Linked DNA regions of Schizosaccharomyces pombe. Changing the gene in region 1 together with any one later gene gives a genetic interaction. Each region holds a gene or a part of one and is shown in the gene's direction. Other genes may lie near its edges. The genes, in order: dip1 and wsp1.

Region 1 (4,300 bases):
ACTATCAGAAGAAATCACTACTGTCAAAAATTTGCATGTTACAGCCTATGTAGGTGATTCAGAATCGAAGGATGTAGCTTTACTCTATAATGTTTGTGAAGGAGCTAGTGATCGGAGTTTTGGAATCCATGTTGCTAAACTTGCGCACTTCCCTCCCAAGATTATTGAAATGGCAAGCAACAAAGCCGCAGAATTAGAAGCTGAAGACTCTGGAGCCCAAGGGGATACTCAAGAAGTGAAATCTAAAAAAGAAGGTATGGCAATTGTACGTGATATAATGAGACAATGGCGTAGCAACGTCAAACCAGAAATGACTCAGCAACAAATGATGGACCAATTTCAAAAAGTCATCGGCTCATTCGCACAGCAAATCAATTCCAACAACTGGCTACAATCCAGGGTATCCACAAATGAGGTTTCCTCATGAAGAATGTGAGCAAGGTACTAATTGAAAGAATTCAACCAAGGTACATGTTTTTTGGAAGCGCATTTTATGAATAAAATAATTTTTTACTAAAACGAGGAAAAGCCATAGATCAATGAATTTTATAACCCAAAACTGTTTCATTTGCCATAATAACCAAATAAAAAGATATAAATGGGAAACGAACCACTAGTTTTCCAATTAATCACAGCTTGCACAACCATTACAACCTATTTTCATTAGCAACTGGTAGCAATAGCACTTCTTTACTTACCACAATGAGTACATCTCACACGTTGATCTTTATCAAGTTTTGATTTAGGTACACGACATATACACGTTGAACCAAATTTTGACTCAGCGGTTTGAATACAGCGCAGACAACAAAGTTTCTCGTATCCTGGTTTTTTCCATTTGGCGATTAAATTTCCATCGGCATAATTTTGTTTTAGCAGCCAGTTGTAAAGTTCGGTAGATATGGCTTCCCGTTTGTAGTATAAATCGTATATATAACGACTGCGCTGATGATGAAGTTGAAAAATCGGTGCTAGCATTTCCGTCTTAGTTCCCTTTCCCATTGTATTCTCAATTTGACGCATACGATCTTGGAATTCAATAAGGGTGGGTTCTATTTCATCAAATCCGTCAGGAGGGCTATAGCTAATTAGAATCTTACTTCGTAGGTAAAAATAAAGGTAACAAGGAAAATACTTGGTATACATACCGCTTGGTTCTTGACGTTCGAAGACGAGGCATGATAACAGAATATTTTTTAAGCAAACTACGACTTTTCTTCAATAAACCAACACAGAATAAGGAATGCTTGCTTTAAAGAGATTAAATATAAAGAAACCGATAAAATGAAATCTAGTGATGGGTAGTTTTTATCCTTTTACTTATTTGGTGGTAGTGTACTTATGGGCAAGTTGGATTTGTGAGAATCCAGTGTAAATTCCTTGTAAAATAGACTGCCGCGATTGAAACTGTTGCAAGATATTCTTAACTATAGAAACTAAGTTTTTTCTCCGTTAATTAAATTATAGCCTCTTCAATTGAGGATAATTGAGAATTTTTGAATTTGTGTCTCCACTATATTTTATACCTTAACATATGGCCAAAAGGGAACCAGATGCATTTGTATACTATAATACTACAATACTGTTTTCATGGTATAACATTGACGCTCTGTTGTGTTGACTACTAATCATATATTAAAGTTGATTATCGATGGATATTAGCGAGAATTTTGTCTATTGAATACTAGGCTCGATAATGAGAAAGCGGCAATTAAACCTTCCCTAACCTCCACATGGAGTTCACGGATGTGTTTTATAATTTAGAGAATGAAAAGCAATTTTTGGCGGGTATGCAATTTATTCATAATTGTAAACTTGAATGTGCCTGGGATTCATTATCCTGGCTAAATAGTATTCCCGTTGACGCTAACATTTGGTGACAGAAATTGACGAACTTTTAACTATACCATACGAAAAAAATGAACTGGAAATTGGTGTTTCAAAGTTTCTTTCTTTTATCAACAAATATGGAGGTAATGTTTTGGAGAATTGGGGAAGCACAATTTTCCGTGTTTTTCCTATGGATGAAATACAAAGAAATTGAGTGTTTGTCTCTTTATAGAACATCTTATCTAACAAAATAAATTCAATAGAACCGTACCTAATTACAGAATTCCAATTGCAGAGATGTATGGAAAAGTTCCTCAATAGTCCGCTTTATCAACTAGACGAAAACGCCGTTTTAAGTATTTTCTATGATTGCTTTTTTTTCTTGAAAGAACAACAAACTTTGAAATTCATAATCATTGTCTTTCAATCCGAAATTCAAGAGAATGAGTACTGCTTGCGTTTGTTGGCTTCTACGGGGTTCATTCCCGTCTTGATCAAGGCAATGAAACAGTTCAAGGATCGTTCAGAAAATGTTGCTTTTACATCTTTTCGTTATGCTTTATTCTTAGTGTACTATATTTGTCGCTCGAGACGACTTTCACCGACCGACTTAGTCGCAATTGATGAATATTTTTTAGTAAACCTATTCAAAACGTCGGAAGAAGCTTGGAATGATGAGGACATGGACAGTTTTGGAATGTGCGTCTTGACATTGCTTAGCATCAATGAACAGTTTATGCTTGTTCGGCTTGCTTCCAAAGGTTCGTTTGAAATCGCAAATGGCATAATGGATTTGCTGAGCTCTTCCAAAGTGGATAACGGTATCTACAGTGAAGGCCTAGTTTTCACTCTAAATCGAGAAAAGGATCCACGCTCTCGAATGTTAATACTAAAACAACTATTCCTTCTTTTTACAACTCCCGCTACGTATGAGATATTCTATACCAATGATCTCAATGTCCTAATTGATATATTCATACGCGAAATAAACAATATTCCCGATGAGCTTTCGGATCTTCGGTATGCATATTTGCAAGTTTTGATTCCTTTGCTTGAAAATACACAGGTGCGCCATCCACCTCATTACAAAACTAAGTGTATAGTCGACGCGGTCAATAATGTCTTAATTTCTCACTCAAAAAGCAGCAACATGGAAGATGCACGTACTACAGATGTTGCCATACGTGTTTTAGAAGTACCGTGGCTTCAACAAGAGATGAAGTCATTAGGAACCGCTCAATAATTTTTATTCTACTACTGAAAAACTTTTTATTTTTTTAAAGCACCTCACTCGTTTCCTTCATTTATTGTCAGATCAACCAAAAAGAATTGCAAATTTTAACCAATCTCCTTTCCACTCTTTTTTTTAATACTTTCTCTCTCCTTTTGCCAGTCTGTTGTTTTTTGAAAAGCCAGTTTTGGCGTATTACTTCTTGCAGAAAATTGATAAAACTTGGAGAAATTTCTTTGGAATGCAAAGAAAATGCTAAAAGTTTAAACACTGCAATTTTCATATCAATGAATAGAAAATCTCTAGTTAGACATATCCATTGCAAAAGAAGAAGTGAAGAAAATTTTTAAATAACAAACGTGAAGAATGGCATAAACTAATATAGGAATGCTTAATTAATAATACCCCTATCAATCATCTAACATTTTCTGTAACTTTCGGTGATCGTAAATGTGCAAGTTAGACAACGTAATTTAGATTCATCGTCGTCTTTGAAAAAATAGGTGATTATTCGTAAACACAAAACTTTCTTTTGAAAGGGTTCAGTTAAAAATTTCACCATCAAAAATGAAAGAACAGAGTAAACAGAGGAAGGGCAGGAAAAAAAAAATACCGCTTTGTTTGATTTGCCAAAGTTGAAGATGAGTAATAAGTACTTAAGCATAAAAATGAAAACATATTAGGATGGGGGAAACCTAGATGCAATGAGATTGTATGAGAGTATTCAGGAACAGCTAATTCAACTTTTTTGCGCCTTGAGCCTCGAGTTTTTTGATAGCTTCTTGTTGCTGATGCTGTTGAACTCGAAACTTTAGAAAGTAATTGACCTAATCCAGAAAAACAATGTTAGTGAGAAAGAAAAAAAGAAGTAATGGAGATCTTTAAGGTAATAATTCAAGAGAATTGCAAAATCGGAATTTCTCGTTTCATTTCATACCAGCCAGATTTCATTTACAATTTTGGCGATTCATACCCAAGATTTTACGCAATCAGTTTCGAAAGCGGTTTTTTCAGCGGAACAAGCCTGGGCTGCTTTTGTATCATCTTTCAATCCATCCAAAATGGAATGCCTATCCAAACAACCAAAGTAAGCATCTCTGGCTTCCCAGCATTTTTCTCGAGCACTTCTTCGTAATGCGCCGTTACCAGCCATGAGTTCGTAACAAAGCTTGAATAATAAATTTCAACAAGGCCGTTTGGTGATGAGTTTTACGAATAATAGTTAAAATGTACCAATCG
Region 2 (5,073 bases), on another chromosome or scaffold:
GATGAGGATGGTATAATTCATTTAATTTGTAAAGGTGCGGATACGGTAATATTTCCAAGGCTTTCCAGCGGACAAAACAATATCATTGAAAAGACGAAGAAGCATTTAGCTTCATTTTCATCCGAAGGATTTCGTACGTTATGTATCGCTCGTCGAACTATTGATAAGCAAGATTATCTTGAATGGAAAGTGAATTTCAACGAAGCTAATAGTGCCATTCATGAACGGAACGAAAAGGTCAGTAAAGTTTCAGAGATGATTGAGCAAGAGCTTGAATTACTCGGTGGAACAGCAATTGAAGATAAACTTCAAGAGAATGTACCAGAAACTATCGCTCTTTTGGCTATTGCTGGAATTAAGTTGTGGGTGTTGACTGGTGATAAGGTAGAAACGGCAATCAACATTGGGTATTCATGCAATCTTCTTGATCCAAACATGACTATTTTTCGAATTGATGCAAACTCTTTCGGTGCCTTAGAAGAAGTAGAAGCTTTTATTAGAAACACATTATGCTTTAATTTTGGATACATGGGAACGGATGAAGAATTCAGATTTTTGTTGAAAGACCACAGTCCGCCATCTCCGAAACACGCCATAGTTATTGATGGGGATGCCCTGAACTTTGTTTTGTCTGAACAGGTCTCTTTTCTTTTTTTAATGTTATGTAAGCAGTGTAAGACAGTTTTGTGCTGCAGGGTTAGTCCCTCTCAGAAGGCAGCTGTTGTTGCTTTAGTCAAGAAGAGTCTAAATGTTGTCACTTTAGCAATTGGAGATGGCGCTAATGATGTTTCGATGATTCAAGAAGCCGACGTTGGAGTAGGGATAAAAGGCGTTGAAGGGCAAGCAGCTTCAATGTCGGCGGATTATGCCATCGGTCAATTTTCTTTCCTAGGGCGACTACTTCTAGTTCATGGACGATGGGACTATAAAAGAATGTCTCAAATGATTTCATTCTTTTTTTACAAAAATGTTATTTGGACATTTATACTTTTTTGGTATCAATTTTATAACGAGTTTGATGGAAACTACATATTTGATTATACCTACGTGATGCTTTTTAATCTGCTGTTCACATCACTACCCGTAATTATTGCAGGTTGTTTTGACCAGGACGTTGACGCATCTGTTTCAATGAAAAATCCAAGCTTATACCAACGGGGAATTTTAGGTCTAGAATGGAACGGAAAGAGATTTTGGTAAGTATAACTCTGAAGATTTCTGTTTGCTAAATATTTATTTTAGGTCTTACATGCTAGATGGAATATATCAATCATTGGTATGCTTTGGGGTAGCTCTATTTGTTTTTAAGTTTGGTGATTTTGTAAGTTGGACTGGAAGGAACATCGAGTGTATAGAAGACATAGGACTTTTTATATCCTCTCCTACTATTTTTGTAATCAACATTTTTATATTGATGAATCAAGAGAGATTGAATTTAATATCACTTATTACTTGGATGTTCAGCATAGGTGTATTTTGGATATGGACATTTATTTATTCAGAAGTTGGCCCCTCTTACGCTTTCCACAAATCAGCTTCGCGAACTTGTCAAACTTTTGGCTTTTGGTGTGTTACTGTTTTAACCATTGCCTTATGTTTGTTGCCTCGCTTTTCCTATATTTGCTTACAAAAATTGTTTTATCCTAGAGATATTGACCTTTTACGGAGACGACTTTGTGCAAAGTCAGATGATGAGACTAGCAGTAGTTCATCATTTGCAACAGATATAGAAATGTGCGAACAATGTAACGACCCATTAAGTTCGAAAAAAAATTCCGGTATTGTTACTTCAGTTTCATTCGATGATTCTAATAAGTAGCCATACATCTGAGTTCGCACTGTTTGTTTATGTAGTTATACTACTCCTACCGGACGAGAGTCTTTTTATTATCCTCAACATCACGAATGACTTTTTCTTAATGTTCCCTTTTTTTTCTAATAATTAATGATTATGATTAAGTCATTTTTTTAATAATCTTATAATAAACTAACATTATGAGACAAGCAAACTTCGTATGGTTGAATAAATTTTATTTACCTCTTTACAATGAGGACGATAAGTATGTAGAATGTAAAAAATATTAAACCCGAATTAATGTCTCAAGTTTTATTAATCTATAAACAGTTAATATAATTAGCAAAATTTACCAGCTGCTAATAAGTGCGTTGCAAATTTTTATAGTACATAGCGTAGTATAGTATACTACACTAATTATCACTCATTGGCTTGTTAACTACAGTGAAAATGCTAACAAACGGGAGGAACCAAAACACCACTTATACCACTGTGAGACAGCAATTTTTGAATTGCATTACAATCCGAAAATTCAAATGCCTCCATCTTCCTCTATAACTCAAGAGGATAAGGCAACTATCCGTAAATACATACCTAAAAGCACAAATAAAATCATTGCAGCAGCCGTCGTCAAGCTATATGTAGCTTATCCTGATCCGAACAAATGGAATTATACAGGTCTTTGTGGTGCTCTTGTATTGTCCTATGATACAACAGCAAAATGCTGTTGGTTTAAACTGGTTGACGTTGTGGTATGTGTATGAAGCTTTGATACTCAAAGCAAACTACAAAGAGTGGTATACAATTTAATTGAATTATAACCTTCTAACGTTTTAGAATAATAGTGGTATAATATGGGACCAAGAGCTTTATCAAAATATGGACTATCGCCAAGATCGTACATTTTTTCATTCTTTCGAGCTTGATAAATGCCTAGCAGGTTTTAGTTTTGCAAACGAGACAGACGCTCAAAAATTTTACAAAAAGGTTTTAGATAAAGGTTGCCATCCTGAATCAATTGAGAATCCGGTTTTGTCATTTATTACCAGAAAAGGTTCTTCTAGACATGCGCCTAACAACAGCAATATCCAACCTCCCTCAGCTGCTCCTCCTGTACCTGGAAAGGAAAATTATAATGCTGTTGGATCTAAAAGTCCCAATGAGCCCGAGCTTTTAAATTCGCTTGATCCGAGCTTAATTGATTCTCTAATGAAGATGGGCATTTCCCAGGATCAAATTGCTGAAAACGCAGATTTCGTCAAAGCGTACCTTAATGAATCAGCTGGTACACCTACCAGTACTTCTGCACCTCCCATCCCTCCAAGCATTCCTTCCTCTCGTCCCCCAGAGCGTGTTCCTTCTTTGTCTGCACCTGCTCCTCCCCCAATTCCACCTCCATCTAATGGAACTGTCTCTTCTCCTCCTAACTCCCCTCCCCGTCCTATCGCTCCTGTTTCGATGAATCCTGCTATTAATTCCACCTCGAAACCTCCACTCCCTCCACCATCTTCAAGAGTCAGTGCGGCAGCTCTAGCTGCTAACAAAAAACGACCTCCTCCGCCTCCGCCTCCATCCCGTCGTAATCGTGGTAAACCACCGATTGGTAATGGTTCTTCTAACTCGTCTCTTCCTCCACCTCCACCACCTCCTAGATCTAATGCTGCTGGCTCAATTCCTTTGCCGCCTCAAGGTAGATCTGCTCCTCCTCCACCTCCTCCAAGGTCTGCTCCTTCCACTGGGAGACAACCACCCCCTTTATCTTCATCTCGTGCAGTTTCAAACCCACCAGCCCCTCCTCCAGCTATTCCTGGTCGTTCTGCGCCTGCACTTCCCCCTCTTGGTAATGCATCACGAACAAGCACACCTCCTGTCCCTACACCTCCTTCTCTTCCTCCTAGTGCACCTCCATCTTTGCCCCCCAGTGCACCACCTTCTCTACCTATGGGCGCACCAGCTGCTCCCCCCCTACCACCTAGTGCACCAATTGCTCCTCCTCTACCCGCTGGTATGCCAGCTGCTCCACCATTGCCTCCCGCTGCACCAGCTCCTCCTCCAGCTCCAGCTCCTGCGCCCGCCGCGCCTGTTGCTTCGATAGCTGAATTGCCTCAACAAGACGGCCGTGCTAATTTAATGGCCAGTATCAGAGCCAGCGGTGGTATGGATTTACTGAAAAGCAGGGTAAGTATTGATATTATTACTTAATGGTTACTCGTACTAATATTTTCCAGAAAGTATCTGCTTCTCCTAGTGTCGCATCTACAAAAACTTCGAATCCTCCGGTAGAAGCACCCCCTTCTAACAATCTTATGGATGCATTGGCAAGCGCTTTGAACCAACGTAAAACCAAAGTCGCTCAGAGTGGTATGTCCGGATTTCTCGTATTTTTTTTCAAAAGTTCTTAAGTTTACTAATTCTTTCAGACGAAGAGGATGAAGACGACGATGAGTGGGACTAGTTATTAATATCTTTGAAATTACCTATACTTTTTTGATTCACACAGTCTTTTAAAGTTTTGTTAAACGACTTCACTATTTTTATTTGGATTTGTGTTTATTGTATTAGAGCAAACACCATTTATTCTAAATTGAATAACGCGAATTTGTGTTGATATTACTATTCATATATCGCAACACAGTGTGTATCTTTACTTTATTGTAAGTATGGGAGCAGTCACACATTTCGGTACCACAACTTTAGAAACGTCAAGTTCAAGTCCTTCCACAACCAAAAACGTTTGGTCAAATAGAAACAAATGGATCCCTCCAAATTGGCTAAGTTGCAGGCTGGCGCTCGTATTGGTATGTTCGAATGCATCCCCGTGTTTTGAAGTTGACACCAGCTCTAAGAAATGCCTTGAACGGTTTCAAAGTGGTTCCACTGTAATTGATGCTGGCTATTGAAAACACAGTTGTACTTTTTTCATAGAGAACTGCTTAATTAACTTATCATTGTATAGGTGGAAAGGGTACCCCTCGTCGTAAGGTGAAGAAGCCTTCTAAGTCTGCCATGAGTGCTGCTGATGACAAGAAGGTTCAAGGTGCCTTGAAAAAGTTGAATATGCAAAACCTTGCTGGCATCCAAGAGGTTAACATGTTCAAGGAAGATGGCGGAGTCATTAATTTCCGTGCACCTACCGTTCATTCCTCGCTTCCTAATGAAACTACAGCTATCTATGGTAAAGCAGAGGAAAAGACTTTGTCTGAGATTTTGCCTGGCATTTTGAACAACCTTGGTCCTGAATCCTTGACTGCCCTTCGTCAAATGGCTGAGCAATTAAA

Evidence for each region.
Region 2: mutations in dip1 (region 1) and wsp1 are lethal when combined (synthetic lethality), as found in Schizosaccharomyces pombe (one study listed by BioGRID).

The regions. Positions count from the first base shown.
Region 1 is NC_003423.3:2,340,584-2,344,883, reverse strand, and holds dip1 (endocytosis protein Dip1), read left to right. Parts: upstream 1-1,713; 5' UTR 1,714-1,733; coding exon 1,734-1,788; intron 1,789-1,883; coding exon 1,884-1,973; intron 1,974-2,093; coding exon 2,094-3,073; 3' UTR 3,074-3,482; downstream 3,483-4,300. Other genes in the region: msh2 (DNA mismatch repair protein), read left to right, coding at 1-427; cwf14 (G10 protein), read right to left, coding at 626-654, 699-1,078, 1,149-1,180; coa6 (cytochrome c oxidase subunit VIb related protein), read right to left, coding at 3,796-3,888, 4,035-4,214.
Region 2 is NC_003424.3:4,860,707-4,865,779, reverse strand, and holds wsp1 (actin assembly factor), read left to right. Parts: upstream 1-2,272; 5' UTR 2,273-2,331; coding exon 2,332-2,547; exon of another isoform or gene 2,548-2,632; coding exon 2,633-3,973; exon of another isoform or gene 3,974-4,023; coding exon 4,024-4,156; exon of another isoform or gene 4,157-4,215; coding exon 4,216-4,250; 3' UTR 4,251-4,527; downstream 4,528-5,073. Other genes in the region: SPOM_SPAC4F10.16C (P-type ATPase), read left to right, coding at 1-1,196, 1,243-1,819; btf3 (nascent polypeptide-associated complex beta subunit), read left to right, coding at 4,548-4,593, 4,752-5,073. UniProt on the Schizosaccharomyces pombe protein: Has a role in regulating actin assembly, so regulating polarized growth.